Linked DNA regions of Anolis sagrei. The protein of the gene in region 1 interacts with the protein of each later gene in a biochemical or structural test. Links are inferred from orthologs where the notes say so. Each region holds a gene or a part of one and is shown in the gene's direction. Other genes may lie near its edges.

Region 1 (11,104 bases):
AGTATTAGATAACTTCTAGTTTTAAAATTATAATGCAAGTATAGATTTTCCATAATCCCCTTGATACCATTTCCCTACTGAAACAACTATTTCTTTTCCTTGCTGTCTGTAGCCTGCCTTTTCTGCCTTGCTAGTTTTCAAACCTCTTGTATTTATGCTTTTGCATTCCCCAGGACTGGATTATTTAATGTTATGGTTGGACTGATAAGATTATGGGAAAAGAGAACAAGCTTCTCTTGTTTTTCCAAGGCCGTTCTGCATGTCATCAGTGGAATCCTTTAAACTGGTGTACAACAATATAAGAAAGTTCAGGGGAGGGGAGACATCCACCAGCTCCTAGAAATATTATATCTAACACTGGTTTAGATCTCTTGAAACTTCAGCTATAAATAGGATTGAAATAGGAACTGGTTTTCAATGCTACTAGGATTCACACAAATTTCTTACACACATAAATCACAACCCTACCTTTGTCAGACTGTGAGACCAACACAAGTGGTGCTGCTTTAAGGCTTCTATCTGGATCCTTTGCCTTGTAAACTTTTCCCCACCCTGTGCAGTCCAAAAAAGTTCACATTTCCTAAAAGCCAGGAACAAAGCAGCTGCTTTGACTGGGAATCTTTATTATAATCACTTTCCGCCTTTCTTTTTAATCTGACGTTTGCAGTGGTTTTATGCATTTCTTTTAAATCTGATGTTTACATAAGTTTTATGGTTGGTTTTCTCCTTATTAAGCTGTTGCTATCATCTGCCTTAAAATGTTGATGAAGAGATTGCAGGATACAACTAATTTCTGTTGGAAACAAACAAGCCAACATTGGATTTGTCTCCTGGAAAGAAATGGGCTTTGTTACTCAAAGCAGAAATCTTTTTTCTTTCAATGTTTCACAGATGAACACCAGGATAGATATGATCAAGCAACATTAGACTGTGGTCAAGATAAGAATTGATAAGAGAAGCTGCAGCGGGTTACTTTTGCTTGAACATACTGGGAAGTCCAGGATCTGTGGCGCTTAGAGCAGTGTTTCTCAACCTACCTAATGCCGGAACCCCTTGATATAGTTCTTCATGTTGCAGTGACTGCCAACCATAAAATTATTTTAGTTGCTACTTCATAACTGTAATTTTGCTAGTGTTATTTATTTATTTAATTTGTTTACCGTATTTATATTCCGCCCTTCTCACCCCGCAGGGGACTCAGGGTGGATTACAATGTACACATATATGGCAAACATTCAATGCCAAAGACACACAACAGATATAGACAAACAGACAGAGGCTTTAACTTTTTCTGGCTGCCAGGGGAGCTGTTGCTTTCATCGTCCATCTGCGACACTGATGAAGTACTTCCGCATTCCCCGCATGCTTTTGCTGGAGTGCTTTGCTGGAGTCTTTTTTATAGCCTCGTAAATTTTGTTAAATTAGCCTCCTCACACATAGGTGGTACCTAATTTTCCTACTTGACAGATGCAACTGTCTTTCGGGTTGCAAAGGTTGACAACAAGCTACACAATTGGTCGGAAGCTCACTCCGACCCGGGCTGGCTTCGAACTCATGACCTTGTGGTCAGAAGTGATCTTAATGCAGCTGACACTCGGACAGCTGCGCCACAGACCCGGTTATGAATCACAATGTAAGTATCTGATATGCAGGATGTATTTTCATCCACTGGACCAAATTTGGCACAAATACCCGATACTAGGATTTACAATTCACCAACAATCAAAGAGCATTCTGAACTCCACCAATAATAGAATTGGGCCAAACTTCACACACAAAACTCCCATGTCTTGAAGGGACTCGCTAGTGCGAACCTCCCTGTAACCTCACACGCTCTCCCTCGCCCACACATGCGCACCAAACTGCCATGTGTCAAGCACACCTACTCTCGCCTCTCCATTTGGAGTCTCAGGATTAGCCCTCACATGCTTTCCCTCATCCACATATGCGCACCATGTGCCGAGCACACCTGCTATTCGCAGAGCACACCTTCTCTCCCCTCCCACTTGGAGTCTCAGAAACAACCCTCCCCTTGATTGAGAGGTCGGCTGAGAGGCTGGCAGAGGAGGGCTTTTGGTGGGATGATTCCATGTCTTTTTCCAAAAAGGAAGAGAAGGACAGGCAGAGAGATCTTCAGCCTTTTCTACAAAGAGGTTCCTAAGACCATCAGAAATATATGTTTTCTGATGGTCGTTGGCGACCCCTCTGAAACCCCCTTGCAACCCTTCAAGGGGCCCTGACCCCCAGGTTGGGAAACACTGCCTTAGAGGAAAGGAGGACAATTTGTCAAATGATGGCATTCCCCACATTAGAATTCTTCCCCTCAAATTTTCCTCCAGTCCCCAAATTTCTAGCCTTGCAGTAACATAAAACCACAGTTGATCATTTAGAAATACAGTTTAGATATCAAAAGGAAAAGGCAGGCAAAATTACTAAGAGAATGGCAGTACACAAACATAGAGTTCTAGGTAAGTATTATTTTCAGTGTCACATTCTTGCAATACTAGGAATATAGGGATTGAAGAAATATTTCTGGGGGTGGGCAGAATATTTATGGGAACAGTCTTCATTTTGTCCCCACTGCAGCTGTACTCCTACTGCATGTGTGCATGCATGTGCACAATGAGTATTGCATTTATTGGTCAGCATTTTTCTTTCCCTGTTATAAGGCTTTGCTAAACCCAGTACATAAAATTCAGGATTCCTCTGTTTAAAATAAGAGGTGTACATGTTCTTTCTCATTAATAATTCTTGCCTTCGCTTTGCTTGGTCACACTTTTTTGGTCACACTCAGATGTTCAGTCACACACATCCCAGTTTATATCTGTGAAATAGGGATGGTAGACTCTCAAATCCACTTCCTTTTCAAACAAGACAAGACAGTACAGACAATAGAATAGAATCCTGATTGGCGAAAGAAAAAAAATCAAAATAGACTCATCATGGGAACCATTCCCAATTTTCAACTGAGGTTATTATTTGCATACCATTTCAGATTGGAAGGAGGTGAAGAAGAATAGCCAGCAATGGGAAACATTTGAAACTTGAAAACTGGGGGTGGAGTTCCTCTCTTCACATTCCACATTTGAAATAAAACAATGTTGTTAACGGCATTGTTTTCCCCAGGTGTGCAATCAATCAATCTCTCTCTCTCCCTTTTCACCAAGTGCTGGGTGAAATGCTTGCCTTTGCAGCTCCTGCCATTTTACTCTCTTCATACCCTTTCTACAGCTTTGTGCTAATTTGACACCAGACATTAAGAACTCAGCTGTTGGCTCATGCCTCTGTTCATTTTGTTTTGCAGGATTTTAATTTTGGAAGTCAGCTCCTCCTGATGTTCACATTGTTCACTCTCTTGTATGAAAGACTTGAAAGCTCAGAGGTCTTGGGAACATTTTGGAAGAATGGACAAAGGTTTAAGATGTCTGTGGTTGGTTTAAACTGTTTTACTGTATTTTAGCAGATATCCATTGACCCATAGAACCCAGTTTAGAAGAGCCGATGCAAGGCAGCACAAGCCAGGCTTCAAAGCAGCAATACCATTAAATGCTAATCAAGGTGGCGATTTGCAACATTCACACTTGCCTCAAGCAGACAAGGGTTGTTTCTCCCACCCTGGACATTCCACAGATATATAAACGTCACTTGTCTTGTTTCCAACAGACCTCGAAACCTCTGAGGATGCCTGCCATAGATGTGGGTGAAACATCAGGAAAGAATGTTTCTGGAACTTGGCCATACAGCCCAGAAAACTCAAAAACTCCCTTTGGGGAGATGGTGGCGGGGTATAAATAAAGCTTATTTATTTATTTATTTACGGCATTTATATGCCGCCCTTCTCACCCCGAAGGGGACTCAGAGCGGCTTACAATATATATTTTCATACAATATATTATATTATTAGCATAGTACAATATCAGTATATATTACTACATTGCACTATACCATTATATTGTAATATTATTAGTAATATTACATGTAATGTAAATATATTATAATTATAATATTGAATTATTATTACTAGTGTTATATTGTATTACATTATAATATTATAAATATTATATGTATATATACTATACTATATTATATTATTAGTAAAGACAAGATGGAAGTGTCTTCTGCTCCCTTCTGTCTTTGCTCTGGCCAGACTTGGTGCCAGCTTATTGTTGTTATTATTAATTATGCGGAGCCCCCGGTGGCGCAGTGGGTTAAACCCCTGTGCTGGCAGGACTGAAGACCAACAGGTCGCAGGTTCGAATCCGGGGAGAGGCGGATGAGCTCCCTCTATCAGCTCCAGCTCCTCATGTGGGGACATGAGGTCTAACCGCTTTGGTTAGACCACACCTGGAATATTGTGTCCAATTCTGGGCACCACAATTCAAGAGAGATATTGACAAGCTGGAATGTGTCCAGAGGAGGGCGACTAAAATGATCAAAGGTCTGGAGAACAAGCCCTACGAGGAGCGGCTTAGGGAACTGGGCATGTTTAGCCTGAAGAAGAGAAGGCTGAGAGGAGATATGATAGCCATGTATAAATATGTGAGAGGAAGCCACAGAGAGGAGGGAGCAAGCTTGTTTTCTGCTTCCTTGCAGACTAGGACGCGGAACAATGGCTTCAAACTACAAGAGAGGAGATTCCATCTGAACATGAGGAAGAACTTCCTGACTGTGAGAGCTGTTCAGCAGTGGAACTCTCTGCCCCGGAGTGTGGTGGAGGCTCCTTCTTTGGAAGCTTTTAAGCAGAGGCTGGATGGCCATCTGTCAGGGGTGATTTGAATGCAATATTCCTGCTTCTTGGCAGGGGGTTGGACTGGATGGCCCATGAGGTCTCTTCCAACTCTTTGATTCTATGATTCTATGACATGAGAGAAGCCTCTCACAAGGATGATAAAAACATCAAATCATCCAGGCGTCCCCTGGGCAACGTCCTTGCAGACGGCCAATTCTCTCACACCAGAAGCGACTTGCTCCTGACACGACAAAAATAATAATAATAATATTGTATTTACATATTACTTGTAAGCCGTTCTGAGCCCCCTTCGGGGTGAGAAGGGCGGCATATAAATCTCGTAAATAAATAAATAATACTGCCATATAATCCAGATTATCAAATCAAATAATCTGCTTTGAACTGGATTACCTGAGTCTACACAGCCATATAATCCACTTCAAAGCAGACCATGCGGATTTTATATAGCAGTGAGCAGATCCAGCCTATGCACCGGCCATTTAATAATGCTTGGAGGAAAGCTCCTCTGATCTTCCAACATGGAGGATACAACAAAAGAGAGGAATTGGTCCATCTCATCCAGGGACACCTTTACTTTGCTTTATCCATGGCCTTTGCTGTCTCCTTTTGGCCCAACTCCTCCACAGACTGGTTGCTATGGTTACAATCTCTTAACCCCCCCCCCCCCCCTTTTTTTTCCTCCTTACATCCTGCCTTCAAAGAGCGGCTTGACATTTTTTTTCCCCTAGTCCCGCTTTGTTCCAATTGGACCCGTGCCGGAGCGAAGAGGGATTTGATTGGACCATTTATCTCATTTCCCGACGGCCAATGGATGCCAAACCCATCCTTCATTGTTTTGAGAGACACTGATTGGTTAAGGGAAGGAAAGTCCCGCCTTTAGAACGACCGAACGTTGCCTGGGCTCGATGTACCCGCCATTCATTGCGGCGAGTGGGCGGGGCTGCAGGAGAGCGAGAGAAAGAGAGGAGGCGGCGGCGGTGGTGGTGGAGAAACGAGGCCTAGAGTAGCGGGCCGACCTTCCATTCCAATCCCATTCCTAGAGAAGACAGGCCGCCCGGAAGGCCCTTATCACCCTCCGCCTTTCCTTTCGCAGCAGCCGCAGCCACCCCTTGATCATGTCGGCCTCTGCCACGGCCCCTGCTCCGGCGGAGACTGGAGGCGGTGGCGGAGGAGGACCCGCCACTGGGGAGAAGCAGCCGCGCTCCTCCGCCGCCTCTTCCTCCGCCGCCTCGGCCTCTGCCTCCTCCTCCGCCGCCGCGGGCGCCCCGCTCAACGTGGAAGGCCTCGACCTACTGGAGAAGTGCGCCGTCTGCAGGGAGAAACTCCGCTCCGAGCGGGACCCAAGGCTCCTGCCCTGCCTCCACAGCGTCTGCAAGGAGTGCGTCAAAGTCGAGCCCGCCGGCGGAGGAAACAACAAGGAAGGGCAAGGTGAGCTGCAGGTGTCCTCCTAGTCACCGCCCTCTTTCTTATCTATGGGCCAATTTGGGCCTTGCAGGTGCTTTGGACTTCAACTCCCACCATTCCTCACAGCCTCAGGCCGCTTCTTTTTCCCCCTCAGGCTGAGGGGGAAAAAGAAGCGGCCTGAGGCTGTGAGGAATGGTGGGAGTTGAAGTCCAAAGCACCTGCAAGGCCCAAGTTGCCCCCAGGCCCTTCCACACAGCCATATAACCATATATCAAACCATTATCCCCTCCTTCCACAATATCTGCTTTGAGCTAAGTTATCTTGAGTCCACACTGCCACATAATCCAGCTCAAATGTGGATTTTATACAGCCCTGTGGAAGGAGGGGCCTAAGATACTCAAGGAGGGAAAGCCCCTCCATTAGTGAGGGAATTAGGCCTAAGGAGAGAATTATTCTATCATCTTGGCGAGAGAAATAAACAGAGGAATTACTATAATTATATTTATACCTTGCTTTCTTGAAAGAGAAAGACAAGCCTTAATATTATTCTATCTTATTGGTGATGGGAATAAACCCAAGGATTTACTATTGCTGATTATATTTATACCTTGCTTTCTTGAAAGAGAAAGGCACCCTTCTCGTTTTGTAAAAGAAATAAACCCAAGGAATTACTATTGCTAATTATATTTATACCTTGCTTTCTTGAAAGAGAAAGACACCCTTTATATTATTCTATCTTCTTGGTGAGAGGAATAAACCCAAGGAATTACTATTGCTAATTATATTTATACCTTGCTTTCTTGAAAGAGAAAGGCACCCTTCTCGCTTCGTAAAAGAAATCTGAGAAATAATTGTATTATTATAGTTCTACCTCTTGGAAGAGAAGAAAAGCCTTCTCGTTTTATGAAAGAGGCGGATATAAATATAATTATTATATCTTCTCTTGAAAGAGAAGGAAATTCTTGTTTTGTGGAATAAACCTTAGAGAATTATATTATTATCTATTTATACCTCATATTTCTTGAAAGGAAACACTCCTCACTTTGAAAGAAACCTATGAGAATGTTGTTATTATTCCACGTTTTCTTTTGATAGAGAAGCCTCGTTTTGTGAAAGAAGCCTCTATTATTATTATGATTATTATTATTTAGCAAATAATTTTTATTAAATTATTTTTATTATGATTATTATGATTATTATTATTATATCTCACTTTTGTCTCTTGAAAGAGAAGGGAAACCCTTCTCGTTTTGGGGAATAAACCTTAGAGAATTATATTATTATATATTTATACCTCATTTTCTTTTCTTGAAAGAGAAGGAAATCCTCCTCACTTTGAAAGAAACCTAAGAGAATGTTGTTGTTGTTGTTATATTATTATTATACCACGTTTTCTTCTCTTGAAAAAGAGAAGCCTCATTTTTTGAAAGAAGCCATTATTATTATTATTATTATTATTCCTCACTTTCATCTCTTGAAAGAGAAGGAAACCCTTCTCGTTTTGGGGAATAAACCTTAGAGAATTATTATTATTATTATTATATATTTATACCTCATTTTCTTTTCTTGAAAGAGAAGGAAACCCTCCTCACTTTGAAAGAAACTTAAGATAATGTTGTAATATCATTCCACATTTTCGTTTTGTGAAAGAAGCATATTATTATTATTATACCTCGTTTTCGTCCCTTGAAAGAGAAGGAAACCCTTCTCGCTTTATGAAATTAACCTAAGAGAATTATATTGCTATTGTTTTTATATATTTCTCAGGTTTCTTTCACAAAAAATGAAGGGTTTCCTCAAGCGAAGCCAGCGAAGTATAAATATATAATTAATAATACCACTAATATAATTTTCTCAAGTTTCTTTCACAAAACTATGAGTTTCCTTCTCTTTCAAAAGAATAAATCAAGGTATAAATGTATAATAATATAATTCTCCAGTTTCTTTCACAAAATGAGAAGATTCCTTTTCTTTCAAGAGAAGAAAGAGAGTTATAAATATAATACAATTATTCTCAGGTTTCTTTCACAAAACAAGAAGAGTATCCTTCTCTTTCAAGAGAAGCAATTTAGGCATATATAGTAATAATGGTAATAATATAATCTCGAGTTTCCTTCTCTTTCAAGAGAAGAAAGCGGGGCATAATAATAATAATAATAATAATAATATTCTCAAGTTCCCTTGACAAAGAGAGAAGGCTTTCCTTCTCTTTCAAGAGAAGCAAGTGAGGAATAGTACTAGTAGTACAGGCTTCTTTCACAAAATGGGAAGGCTTTCCTTCTCTTTCAAGAGAAGAAAATGAGGTATAAATATAATCATCATCATTTTCTCAGGTTTTCTTTCACAAAATGAGAAGTTTCCTTTTCTTTCATGAAAACGAGGGATAATTATATTTATACATCGCTTTCTTGAAAGAGAACACTTCTTGTTTTGTGAAAGAAACTTGAGATTACTATTACTATTATTATTATTATATCTTGTCTTGAAAGAGGACACCCTTCCTGTTTTGTGAAAGAGAATTATTTTTTGGATTTATACCTCGCTTTCTTGAAAGAGAACTCTTTTCGTTTTGTGAAAGAAACTTGAGAATATTACTACTATTATATCTTTCTTGTCTTGAAAGAGAAAGAACCCCTTGCTGTTTTGTGAAAGAGAATTATTTTTTGTATTTATACCTCGCTTTCCTCCCTTAAAGGAGAGGAGAAGCAGGAAAAGGGAGGGAGATATTTTGTGGGGGGGGGGGGGGGTGGAAGCAGGCTTTGTATTGGGGAGAAAAAGATATCCGGCCTCGTGTGGAAGGAAGAGGGCCTTTGCACATTGCATTGTCCTTTGTAAAAACCTCCCTCGCAATGTGTTCCTTGTTTGCAAGGTGTGTTTTGGTCTCTTGAGAAGGAATGGGAGAGATCATTTGCACAACGTCCTTTCCAGCCTGCCTCCCTCCTTCCTTCCCTTGAGATCCATCCGTTTCTTTGGTGGTGGAGGCGCCTCTATGGCGGCGGAGGCGCAGCGAAGGGGGGCGTGGCCACGTGCATTCCGACGAGGGGGCGCCCGCCGCGGGAGCAATCTCGCGAGAGGTGGGCAATTCCTGCGCAGCTTTGGTGGAAGGTGAAGGAGGAGGGGGTTGCGCAGTGGTGTGCCATCTCCCTCATGCTAGAATAGAATAGCTTTGTATTGTTGATGGCTTTCATGGCCGGAATCACTGGGTTGTTGTGTGTTTTCTTGGCTGTATGGCCATGTTTCAGAAGCATTCTCTCCTGACGTTTCTCCTGCATCTATGGCAGGCGTCCTCTGGGATCGTGAGGTCTGAGGATGCCTCCCACCGATGCAGGCGAAACATCAGGAGAGAATGCTTCCGGAACCTGGTCATACAGCCTGAAACACTTAGAGCAACCCATAGAATAGCTTTATTCATCATTGTGCTATTTCAGAACGAAATTAAATGCCTCTCCCCAGCACACAGCCCTCAATTCCACATTAATGCAGAACCACGGAGTTCAGTATAGCCACAGCTATAGGATAACAGTATCCTTTAGTCCAGTGGTTCTCAACATTTCCAATCCCGTGACCCCTTAATACAGTTCCTCAGGTTGTGGTGACCCCCAACCATAAAATTATTTTCATTGCTTCTTCATAACTGTCATTTTGCTACTGTTATGAAACGTCATGTAAATATCTGAAATGCAGGATGTATTTTCATTCACTGGACCAAATTTGGCACAAATACCCAATACGCCCACATTTGAATATTGGTGGGCTTGGGAGGAGATTGATTTTGTAATTTGGGAGTTGTAGTTTCTAGGATTTATAGTTCACCTACAATCAAAGAGCATTCTGGACTCCACCAACAATGGAATTGAACCAAATTTGGCACACAGAACTCCCACGGCCAACAGAAAATACTGGAAGGGTTTGGTGGCCATTGACCTTGAGTTTTGGAGTTGTAGTTCACCTTCATCAAAAGAGCACTGTGGACTCAAACAATGATGGATCTGCACCAAACTTGGCACGAATACTCAACATGTCCAAATGTGAACACTGGTGGAGTTTGGGGGAAATAGACCTTGACATTTGTGAGTTGTAGTTACTGGGATTTATAGTTCACCTACAATCAGAGCGTTCTGAACCCCACCAGCAATAGAACTGGGCTAAACTTTCTACACAGAACCCCCATGACCAACAGAAAATACTGTGTTTTCTGATGGTCTTCTGACACCCCCTCGTGACCCCCTCAGGGGTCCCGACCCCCAGGTTGAGAAACACTGCTTTAGTCTGTTTGTCTTTATCACCCTATACCATGGCAATAATAATAATAAAAATAATATGCTGGGTGAGATGGATCCCCAAGAACGCTCTGAGCTTTCTTAAGGCAGTGGGATTTATAATATTTATAATAATATAATAAAGCTTTATTTATATCCCACCCCTTCTCCCCAAGGTTCTTCCAATGAAGGGAGAGGGAAACAAATGATTCGCTGTGCAGAAGTGGTGGCCCTGGTTACCCCCAGGCAGCAATCAGCCAGGCTTTGAAGCTATAAGGCAATTAAATGCTATGTATAGATTGTCGGAGGCTTTCAAGGCCGGAATCACTGTGTTGTATGTTTTCTGGGCTGTATGGCCATGTTCCAGAAACATTCTGTCCTAATATTTCACCTGCATCTATCGCAGGCATCCTCAGAGCTTGTGAGGTCTGTTAGAAACTAGAAAAATTGGGTTTATATATCTTTGAAATGTCCAGGGTGGGAGAAAGAACTCTTGTCTGTATGAGGCAAGTGTGAATGCTTCAGTTGGCCACCTTGATTAGCATTTAATGGTCTAGCAGTTTTCAAGGTCTGGCTTCTTACTGCCTGGGGGAATTAAATGCTAGTCATCAAAATAGTTTATTGTTCGGGCCCAAGGCCATGACAAAAAGCACCACACACACACAATAGCACCCTCAGAGTACAGGCACCA
Region 2 (10,536 bases), on another chromosome or scaffold:
TGATTCCTAAAGACGTGGCGCCAAGATCGAATATTAATGGCTTTATGAAGTCCTCCTACTATGTTAAATCAATATGTGAGCATCACAAGACCCTATTGCTATAATTCAATCCTTAATAAAGGCACCACATTCTTTACTAACCATGTATTTGGCAGCTATGACTAGGTCTTTCAAACACACGGTTGCAGTGATGTCTAGCAAAGGCTGATTCTACACTGAGTGTATAATGCAGTTTGAACTGCATTATATGGCCAGTGTAGAATGCAGTTCAGTGTAGTATAAACTACATTATATGGCAGTATAGATCCAGCCACAGTTGTGGAGAGCTGTATTGAAGATGGAATCTTTTCCTTACCTCCTCACATGTTCATGTTGTGTGCTTTTGTGAGCACAGCTTGGGTGAATAGGTGATTTGCAACCAATCTGATTATTTTCTTTCTTTAAAATTTAAATTCGTATTTCTACAATGTTTGAATCATTGTAACTTTTAGGTGGTATATAAATCATACTGCACCAGTTAGCTCTTTGGGGGAAGGATGGGGGAATGACACACTATCTGTGAAGTTTAAAATGATTTGGCCAGGTTCCAATGCACTTACACTCTAATCCTAATAACAATGGTAGTTGGCTATTTAGGCTACTGCATTATCTGTGCTACTGTAATTGCCTTAGGGACTTATCACACCAACGTTTTATGACATATTATTCTGTTGGCAATCAGCTCCGGCCAGTCTTCTGAAAGTTGCTGATTGTGGATGCTCTCTATCGCACCCTTGCTGGAGCTACACAGCATATTTTTGTCATCTGCATGGATGCATCACTGCCACCTGCCTTATACCCCACCCCACTTCTTCGTGTCTAATTTTTTAAAGAATTAATAGTGTTATGATAGAACATTGCTATAATGATAGGGTGTGCTATAGATTATGACAACATAACAGGAAAAAAATCTGAATTTGGAAGAGTGTATTAGAGGAAATGAAAAATACCAGAAAAGCTATCTTCCCTGTCCAAGCACCAGAAGTAACAGGCCAGATTTCCTAGGGAATCCTTGACAAAGGGATAACCTGCCGACACTCAAACCACTAATTCACAGATAAAATACCATGAGCTATCAGCACCTGGTTACTGAGGTTGGATCTACATTGTTCTATATCCCAGGATCTGATCCCAAGTATCTGCTTATCTCAGATTATCTGACAGTGTAGACTCATATAATCCAGTTCAAAGCAATATAATCCAGTTCAAACCTAATCTAGAATCATTTCCTGGGATATATAGGGCAGTGTAGACCCAGCCTGAATTGTTTTTGGTAAAGCTCATTAATGGATTGTTTACTGGGTTTTTAGTGACTTCACAATGCAACAATGATGGTATAATAGCATGATGTGATAATGCCTTTAATGTGTCACTGTATAATTGCCTGGTAAGAAGGTCAATATACTGCCCTGTTATGCTACTGGGGAAAAGGGAGCTGGACTTTCTATTATTATTGTTTTTGTTGTTGTTGTTGTTGTTGTTGTTATTTGAAACACAACAAGATGAGTCCACAGCAGACAAGATAACTCTGCTGGCTGTTGTATTGGATCACACGTCGGACACTTCCCAAGTGTGTAGGACTGTGTGATGTATCGGTGAATAATGCGTGCAGATCCCAGTAGGGTGGCTTTCTGCAACTGGTAGATGGTAATTTTATCAGTGCCAATTGTGTTTAACTGCAGGCCAAGGTCTTTAGGCACTGTACCCAGTGTGTCAATCACCACTGGGACCACCTTTATTGGCTTGTGCCAGAGTCTTTGCAGTGTCAGCTTTTCCAGTTGTTTCTCTTCAATTCTGCTGTCACCTGAGATTGCAACATCGACAATCCATACTTCGTTTTTTAACACAATTGTGAGGTCAGGAGTATTGTGCTCCAAAATAATAATAATAATAATAATAATAATAATAATAATTATTATTATTATTACTATTATTACTATTTAGACTCTGCTTTATCTCTCCCGAAGGGGACTCAAAGTGGCTTAACATAAAAGCATTAGTACACAATTCCAAATATAAAGCTATACAAACATTAAAGCAGAATTAAATATAAACAGTATTAAACATTTACAGTTTAAAACCATTCAATGCATATTCAAATTCAAACCACAGCACCTCCTGGCTTGATCTTTAAAACCTTGATCTTTAAAACCCTGTCTGAATAAGAAGGTTTTAGCTTGCCACCAGAAGGACAGCAGGGAGGGAGCCTTTCCGGCATCCCTGGGAAGAAGAGAGTTTCAGAGTCACGGGGCAACCACCAAGAAGGAAGGCTCTCTCTCTCTCTCTCTCTCTCTCTCTCTCTCTCTCTCTCATTCCACCAACTGGGCTTGAGATGGAGGTGGGACAGAGAGAAGGGTCTCTCCTGACCATGGCTTCAGCTCTTTGGGCCAGCTGAAGTTTCTGATCACCCTTCAGAGGCACCCACACATAGAGCATGTTACCACAATGGCCAGATCTGGCTTCTCAAGGAATGGGCACAGTTGGCACACAAGTTTTAATTATGCAAAGGCCCTCCTGGCCACCGCAGATACCTGGGCCTCCATATTCAATGCCAAGTACAAGAGGGTCCCCAAACTGAGAACCCGTGTCTTCAGAGGGGAGTGTAACCCTATCCAGCACAGACTGGATCCCTATTCTCTGGTCTGCCTTCCAATTGGCCAGGAGTACCTCTGTCTTGTCTGGATTAAGTTTCAATGTTTTTGCCTCATCCAGTCCATTACCGATGACAGGCACTGGTTTAAGTTCAGGACAGCTTCCTTGGCTTTAGGTGGAAAGGAGTAGTAGAGTTGGGTGTCATCTGCATATAGGTGGCACCAAACTCCAAAATTCTGGGAGGCCTCTCCCAGCGGTTTCATATCTAGTCATAAAGCTTTTCAATATGTTCATTTACATTAAGTAAACTGGGGGGAAAAATCCAAGCTAGAAATTCAATATACACTTACAGCATTTTCTTGTATTCTTCTGGAAGATTTTCCTTGGTGTTGGACTAGGGGCCCTTCCACACAGCCATATAACCCAGAATATCAAGGCAGAAAATCCCACAATATCTGCCCAGGGCCCCTTCCACACAGCTGAATAAAATCCCACATTTTCTTCTTTGAACTGGAATATATGGCAGTGTGGACTCAGATAACCCTGTTCAAAGCAGATATTGTGGGATTTTCTGCCTTGATATTCTGGGTTATATGGCTGTGTGGAAGGGCCCTAGGACTCTGGAGACAAGGGTTTGAATCTCTTCCACTGAGCCATGGAAACCTGTGGAGTGACTAATCCACTGGGTGACTCAGCCACACACACACACACACAAAAAGGCAACAGCAAACTCCCCTTGAAAAGTCTTGCTAAGAAAACTCTGATATGCTTTCCTTCGGATCACCGTGAGTCAGCAGTGTCTTGACACACAATAGCAGCATCAAACAAAATCTTTACTAACCAAAGAATGCCACCCTGCCCTCTATTACTGTAACAGACTATTGAGGCCCCTTCTACATTGGCATATAAAACCCAAATTATCTTCTTTAAATTGGATTATATGACAGTATAAACTCATATAATCCAGTTTAAAGTAGATGACATGGATTATCTGCTATATATGGCAGTGAGGAAGGGGCCTAAGTTTGTGGATATGTCTAAAACAACAAACAAGTCTTTTCAGATCTTCTACTGACAAAGAAAATAACCTTTTCCAAAACCTGTTCTGGGGAAATGTTATTTGTCAGTCACAAGACATGTATATGATCAGATTCACAATATGCTCTGTCAAATGGGCTGAAAGGAAATTTCATTTGGGGCCTACATTTGTTTAGTCCAAATAGAATAGATTTGTTGAATCAATAGTAACACCATGTTCACTTCTATTGATTCAACAAATCTAATCTAATAAGGATTTATTAGATTGGACCTAACCCTTAGTATATGCAGAGGATCAAATTTAAGAAGTAGATTAGAGGGCCAGTTACAGCAACACCCGTTAAGCTTTTTGGTGCACTTTTTAAAAACGCACACATATACTTCTTAATAATTATGCTCAAACAGGGCAGAAATATCTGTTGTATCCATAAGCAACTTCTTTGAAAGTCAAATTATTGTGCCTTTGAGAGTAGTAGATGGGTTAATAATTAAAAAGATAGTAGCTTGTAATGTCACTATTTGGTCATGATATAAATATGCCTGATAAATCTGCAGAATCTGAACCCCATTCCAGCGTTGAATGCCTCTGCCTCGTGATTCTGACAAAATCAAACACCCGGAGATGTGCTACTTTTACTACTTTCATCCAGAAGTAGAGAACTGGCAAGATAGTATCAGTGGAATCAGGCCCGTAGCCAGGATTTTGTTGGGGGGGGGGGGGGGGGAGGACTGAATTTTTTTCAGGGGGGTTCGGGGGGGGGGGGGCTGAGTTTCGGGGGGGGGGCTGAATCTGAGTGAAAGAGGGTCTAGCCTAGCAAACCTTTTGTATCATTACCCCAATACCCCCATGCATATGGGATATATTGAGTATGGTGATCAGATCATGATATGAATAAACATAACAGTTTAAATAATGCACCAGTAAGGCCTTTTCGCGAACCACCATCAGAATTTCGGGGGGGGGGGGGCTGAACCCCCCCGAGCGCCCCCCCCCCCCCCCCCCGCTACATGCCTGAGTGGAATTATCTGATTATTTGGCAGGCTTCAAGTCCTTCTCACACTTAGCTACAATTATTTCCATGTTCAAAAAGGAAAACAGAGTTTCTCAGCAATGAGATGCAGAGAACCCTTTGTATCTGCTGGGGTTTGGTTCCAGGACCCCAAAGACACCAAACAGTCGCTTAAGCAGCTGAGGGAGAAAAGGAAGGGGCCTGAGGCTGCGAGGAATGATGGGAGTTGGAGTCACAAACACCTGGAAAGCCCAAGCTTGCCCAGGCCTGACCTACAGTCTAGATTCTTCATGGTTTGTCTATTACCGCCAATAGGCCCGCAAAGGAGGCGTCTCCCCACGCGCGGGGTCCGGATTGGGCCACTGGTGTCCGCCCCTCCTCCTCGTGGCCGGAGTTCCGGGTTTTTAAAGGGAGGGCGCCTTGGTGGAGGATCTCCTCCGTGGACCGGGCCGGGCAAATTTTGGGTCCGCGCTCTGCTCCCACTCCTTGGCCACCATGACCGACCGCTCCACCTTCGACACCAACGTGACCACGCTGACCCGCTTCGTGATGGAGGAAGGGCGCAAGGCCAAGGGCACCGGGGAGCTCACCCAGCTGCTCAACTCCCTCTGCACCGCCGTCAAGGCCATCTCCACCGCCGTGCGCAAGGCGGGCATCGCCAACCTGTGAGTGACAGACAGAGAGAGAGGAGGAGGAGCCCTTCTCTCCCCAGAGCCCCTTCCCCTCCCCTCCCCTCGTGGACACCCACAATGTTTGCCACTCTTGGTCTCTCCTGATGTACCTACACTCCAGCTTCTATCATCCTTGGCCAAGTCAGATAGTAGGAGCTTCACCTTACAGCATTCATTGGTCAACTTGGGCCTTCCGGGTGTTTTGGACTCCCACAATTCCTAACGTCCTCAAGACCAGCCACGAGGAAAGGAAGGGGCCTGAGGCTGTTAAGAATTGTGGGAGTTGAAGTCCAAAACACCCAGAGGGCCCAAGTTGGCCCATGCCTGGTGTAGATGCACCCATATGAACAGTATTGGAGATGTATTGTCGAAGGCTTTCATCACTGGAAGCACTAGGTTGTTGTGGTTTTTTAAAAGCAGAAAACCTGGGGTTTTTTTTACCTCAGGTTTTCTGCTTTAAACTGAATTATATGATTCTGCACTGCCAGATAATCTGGGATGAACAGAAAACCTGAGATCAGATCTTGGGATATAGGACCAGTCTGGAAGTGCCCTTTGAGAGTAGAGTTGTGTGGATTGGACCTACTGAGCCCCCTTCTGCTTTCCTAGAAAGAGAGTGGTGAGTAGAAGAAGGTAGTGGCTAAAGGAAGAGCATCGTTCTAGGTGACACATTGTGTCCATTCCTTTCTGCTGTAACACCAAACCCTGTCTAAGATCCCAACATCCTTGGCTCCTTCTTAAAAGGATGAGTGCCCAGTAGGAGACATTAAGGACCTAAATCTTGTTGGCTATCATAGTAGAACCATTGGATCTACTAGATTTGACTATGTGTTACCTCAATGTTCAACAGCTGAGGACAGGCTTAACAAGAGCTCAGCTGGAGTCCCCTTGTATGAAATGCTTGGCACCAAAAGTGTTTTGTTTTGGAATACTTCTATTTGCATATATATATATATGCATATTAAGATGTCTTGGAGATGAGACCCAAGGCTAAACATGAATTTGATTTTCGTTTTGTATGCACCTCATACACATAGCCTAAGGGCAATGTTACACTAGATTTTAATAGTTTTGTGCATGAAGCAAAGTTTATACTCAGTGTAACATCAGAAAATATAGAAGTCATTCTTAGCCACGTGTGTGGACAATTTCATATTGTAGAGTATTTCAAAATTGTGGACAAGGGATGCTCAGCCTGTACTTCATTTGGGACTTACCCAAAAGATTTTAATGGAGGTGGTTAATCAGTTGATTTTCCTTTTCATTGTCATTGCATTGGAACCATTTGGCTTAGGAACTTAATACTTGTGGGGGAACACATTTCTATATGTACCAATCTCAATATGAGGTTTTCTGAATGTATCTTCCCCTGTGAATCATCTCGGAGATTAAGATTGTCTGGGGAAGCCCTGCTCTCAGTCTCACCTTCTTCACAAGTGCGGTTGGTGGGGACGAGAGACAGGGCCTTCTCAATAGTGGCCCCTCAATTGTGAAACTCCCTCCCTAGTGATATCAGGGCAGCCCACTCCATCCTAGTGTTTAGAAAGAGAGTCAAAACCTGGCTCTGGAAGCAGGCGTTTGAAAAATAGAGCAGTGCCGGAATCTTAATATGGAATATTTGCATTTTGACTACAGATTAGCCTTTAGACTACGACTCTGGATGATGTGATTTATTGAAATGTATTTTATTATGCTTATTATGTTTAGATTTTTAACTCATGTTTTAACTGAGGTTGTATGTTTTAAGGCACTGTGAAGCGATTGTAAGCCGCTTTGAGTCCCCATCGGGGTAGAGAAAGGCGGGATATAAATAAGGTAAATGAATAAATAAATAAATTTCCCATCACTGAGAGCAATATATGGAGTGAAGATAGCCTTTTCAGCTGTGGCTCCTTCATTTTGAAATGTCCTCCCATTGGGCCTCCAATTGTCAGCAATACTGCTTTTATGTAGGTGCCACATTAAACATGGATATTTTATTAAAGCCTTTGGGCCTTGTTGGTGTACTTTAAACAGAATGGCCAAGGGCGTTAAACACATTGAATATAAATTAATAATTTGTCTAGCTTTATCAGAGCTAGACATACAGACCTCCTACCAGTAGGTAAGGGGGGATTCTGAAGACAGGTTTGCAGCAGTTTCCAGCTAACAATAATATAAGTATAAATGACACAAGAGACCCAATTCCGTTTTCCACATGTGTTGGAAGACTGGCCACCACTCTAGTTGGAAAATGATGGGAATTGTAGTTCAACATATCTAGAGTTGTCAAGAAACAAAAAGTGGGTTATACTTGCAGTATACATTACATTCCTATACAGTGGTCAGTCCTTCCAAATTAAATAAACCTAATTCTGAGGTAAATGGGAATAAGAGTTCAATCTTGGGCCCTTTCTACACTGCCATATAAAATCCAAATTATCTGCTTTGAACTGGATTATATGGCAGTGTAGACTCATATAATTCAGTTCAAAGCAGATAATCTGGCGGGGGTGCTTTGAATGTGATTGTCCTGCTTCTTGACAGGGGCTTGGACTGGATGGCCCATGAGGTCTCTTCCAACTCTATGAGTTGGAATTTCCTGCTTTGAAAATCTGGATTATATGCAGTGTGGAAGGGGCCTCCATCTTGTCCAGTATATATTTTTCTGTTTCTAGCTAGGAAGCATTGCGTAGTTGGCTGAAAACAGCTTTAAGGCTAAATAGAGAAGGTGATTTTTGGTATTTCAGAGCACTACAGCAAAGGGAACAGAAGCGGGTAATTTTTGATATGGTAATGCTTCCCTTTTTTGGAACAGGGTGCTGGAAACATGTTTTTTTCTGTCTTATTGAATAGAACAAAATCTCTTTTGTAATGCACATTACACTAAGAAATATTATATGCCAACATCCGCTTAAGTGTGCTTCCTCTCTCATGAGCAAGTTATGATGCAAACGTAACCGTTTATAACTCAATCTCCGTAGTAATAGCATGAAGAAACCAGTGTTGACACCATTCTTCATCTGTAGTACCTTTGTTGGGACATAGTTCTTTACCACTCTTACTCATTCAGTTATGTTGGCCCTTTCCCTCCGTGTGCCAATGTAGCTCATTTAAAGCTGAGCCAACACAGTAGCGGTCTGCATTACTGCTGATATACTATGACCCACTTATCACTTTAAGATTGTGTTGTCGAAGGCTTTCATGGCCAGAATCACTGGGTTGCTGTGAGTTTTCCAGGCTGTATGGTCATGTTCCAGAAGCATTCTGTTTCAGAAACATTGGGAGAGAATGCTTCTGGAACAAGGTCATACAGCCTGGAAAGGTCACAGCCACCCAGTTTAAGATTGGCTTAATGTGTAACTGAGACAACTCAGACTATAAGATATTTTTATGTATTCACATCAGTTCACTAGGACTCTGTATTTTAATTTTTGTAGGGATTAATCAAAACTAGGATACTGAAATATTCTAAATACAGCCAGTCCCCAAGCTATGAACAAGATTGGTTCTGCAGGTTTGTTCTTAAGTTGATTTTGTTTGTACATTGGAACAGATACCTTTAAGTGTAACTCCAGCTAAATGTGTGTGTGTGTATGGCCCCTCTGGTGGCGCAGCAGATTAAACCACAGAGCTGCTGAACTTGCTGACCAAAAGCTTGGCGGTTCAAATCCAGGGTGGCTGGAGTGAGCTCCCGCTGTTATGGCCAGCTTCTACTAACCTAGCAGTTTGAAAACATGCAAATATGAGTAGATCAATAGGTATCGCTTCTGCAGGAGGGTAATGGCTCTCCATGCAGTCATGCTGGCCACATGACCTTGGAGGTCTCTACAGACAATGCCGCTCTTCGGCTTAGAAATGGAGATGAGCACCCCCACCCCCCCAGGATTGGACACAACTAGACTCAATGTCAGGGGAAACCTTTACACACACACACACACACACAAGCTTTGGATAGCACAGGAAGGGTTAACACCCCTGTGGAGTTTGCTTTGCTACCTGTGCCCCGGTTCAGAAGATTTCCTCTCACTTTCTGTTCCTGTGATCACTGGATTTTGAAAAAAATCCTCTTGTTGTGGAAACAAGGATTGGTTAGAAAGTTTCAGTGGAGATACCTTTTCCCCATGATAACCCAGAAGTGAATTTCCCTTCCTAGAGGTAGATTTCTCTCACTTCCTGTTGTCTCACCCCTGTCCTTAACTATGAGTCATTTGTAAGTTAGATGTTTGTAACTCGGGAACTGCCTGTATGCACCCGATGGGGGACAAGTTGCATATACTGGGGATGAGTTTTCAGAGGAATCCACACGTAAGCTTTAGCCTTTGCCCGGCATTGTTGCCTTAGAGATAGGTAGTATTTACAGTTCAAGGTACATTTCATGTAGTATCAGCCAGGCCCGTAGCCAGGATTTCGTTTCGGGGGGGGGGGGGGGGGGGCTAAAAAATTTCAGGGGGGGTTTCGGGGGGGGCTGAGTTTCGGGGGGGGGTCTGAGTCTGAGTGAAAGAGGGTCTAGCCTAGCAAACCTTTTGTATCATTACCCCAATACCCCCATGCATATGGGATATATTGAGTATGGTGATCAGATCATGATATGAATAAACATAACAGTTTAAATAATGCACCAGTAAGGCCTTTTCGTGAACCACCATGAGAATTTCGGGGGGGGGGGGGGCTGAAGCCTCCCGAGCCCCCCCCCCCCTGGCTACATGCCTGGTATCAGCATATCTTTGTTATTCACATGTGAACTTTTCAACTAAATTCAACAATGAAATGGCTCCTGAAGGCTGAAGATAGTCAAAACCCATAACTTGTTCCCTTAGCTTTCCAAGTGAAATCAATTGGACTTAAAATGATTTAACCTTTTTAATCGTGGCAGAATATTGATCCCCCCCATCCTATTGATTTCAGTTGGAAAGATAAGCATGTTCTCAGCTTTTTAGAAAATGAAAGTAACACTGTTGTCATATTCTAGATCTGTTAGAAGTTGTTGTGTTGCAAATAAAAATATTTTTATAATTTGTTTTAAAGGTGGCATTTAAAAAAAAAAGTAAACCACAATTTAGGGGCCAGATGATATCAAGACACAAAGTCCCATGTGGTCTTATTGGGGTCTCAGTGTCATGTTTGATAAAAGTGTGGTCGAAACGTAGCCCTTCCTTTTAAAAACAAAAGTGCTTGATTTTGCTTCTGTTCTTCTCATCTTCCTT

Evidence for each region. The genes of interacting proteins can lie anywhere in the genome.
Region 2: the proteins of TRIM28 (region 1) and fructose-1,6-bisphosphatase 1-like form a complex in vitro, tested with the Homo sapiens proteins (2 studies listed by BioGRID). The link is inferred for Anolis sagrei from reciprocal best matches to the Homo sapiens genes TRIM28 and FBP1.

The regions. Positions count from the first base shown.
Region 1 is NC_090026.1:26,895,290-26,906,393, reverse strand, and holds the start of TRIM28 (transcription intermediary factor 1-beta), read left to right. Parts: upstream 1-5,661; 5' UTR 5,662-5,865; coding exon 5,866-6,178; intron 6,179-11,104. UniProt on the Homo sapiens protein: Nuclear corepressor for KRAB domain-containing zinc finger proteins (KRAB-ZFPs).
Region 2 is NC_090022.1:230,376,617-230,387,152, reverse strand, and holds the start of fructose-1,6-bisphosphatase 1-like, read left to right. Parts: upstream 1-5,092; 5' UTR 5,093-5,174; coding exon 5,175-5,344; intron 5,345-10,536. UniProt on the Homo sapiens protein: Catalyzes the hydrolysis of fructose 1,6-bisphosphate to fructose 6-phosphate in the presence of divalent cations, acting as a rate-limiting enzyme in gluconeogenesis. Plays a role in regulating glucose sensing and insulin secretion of pancreatic beta-cells.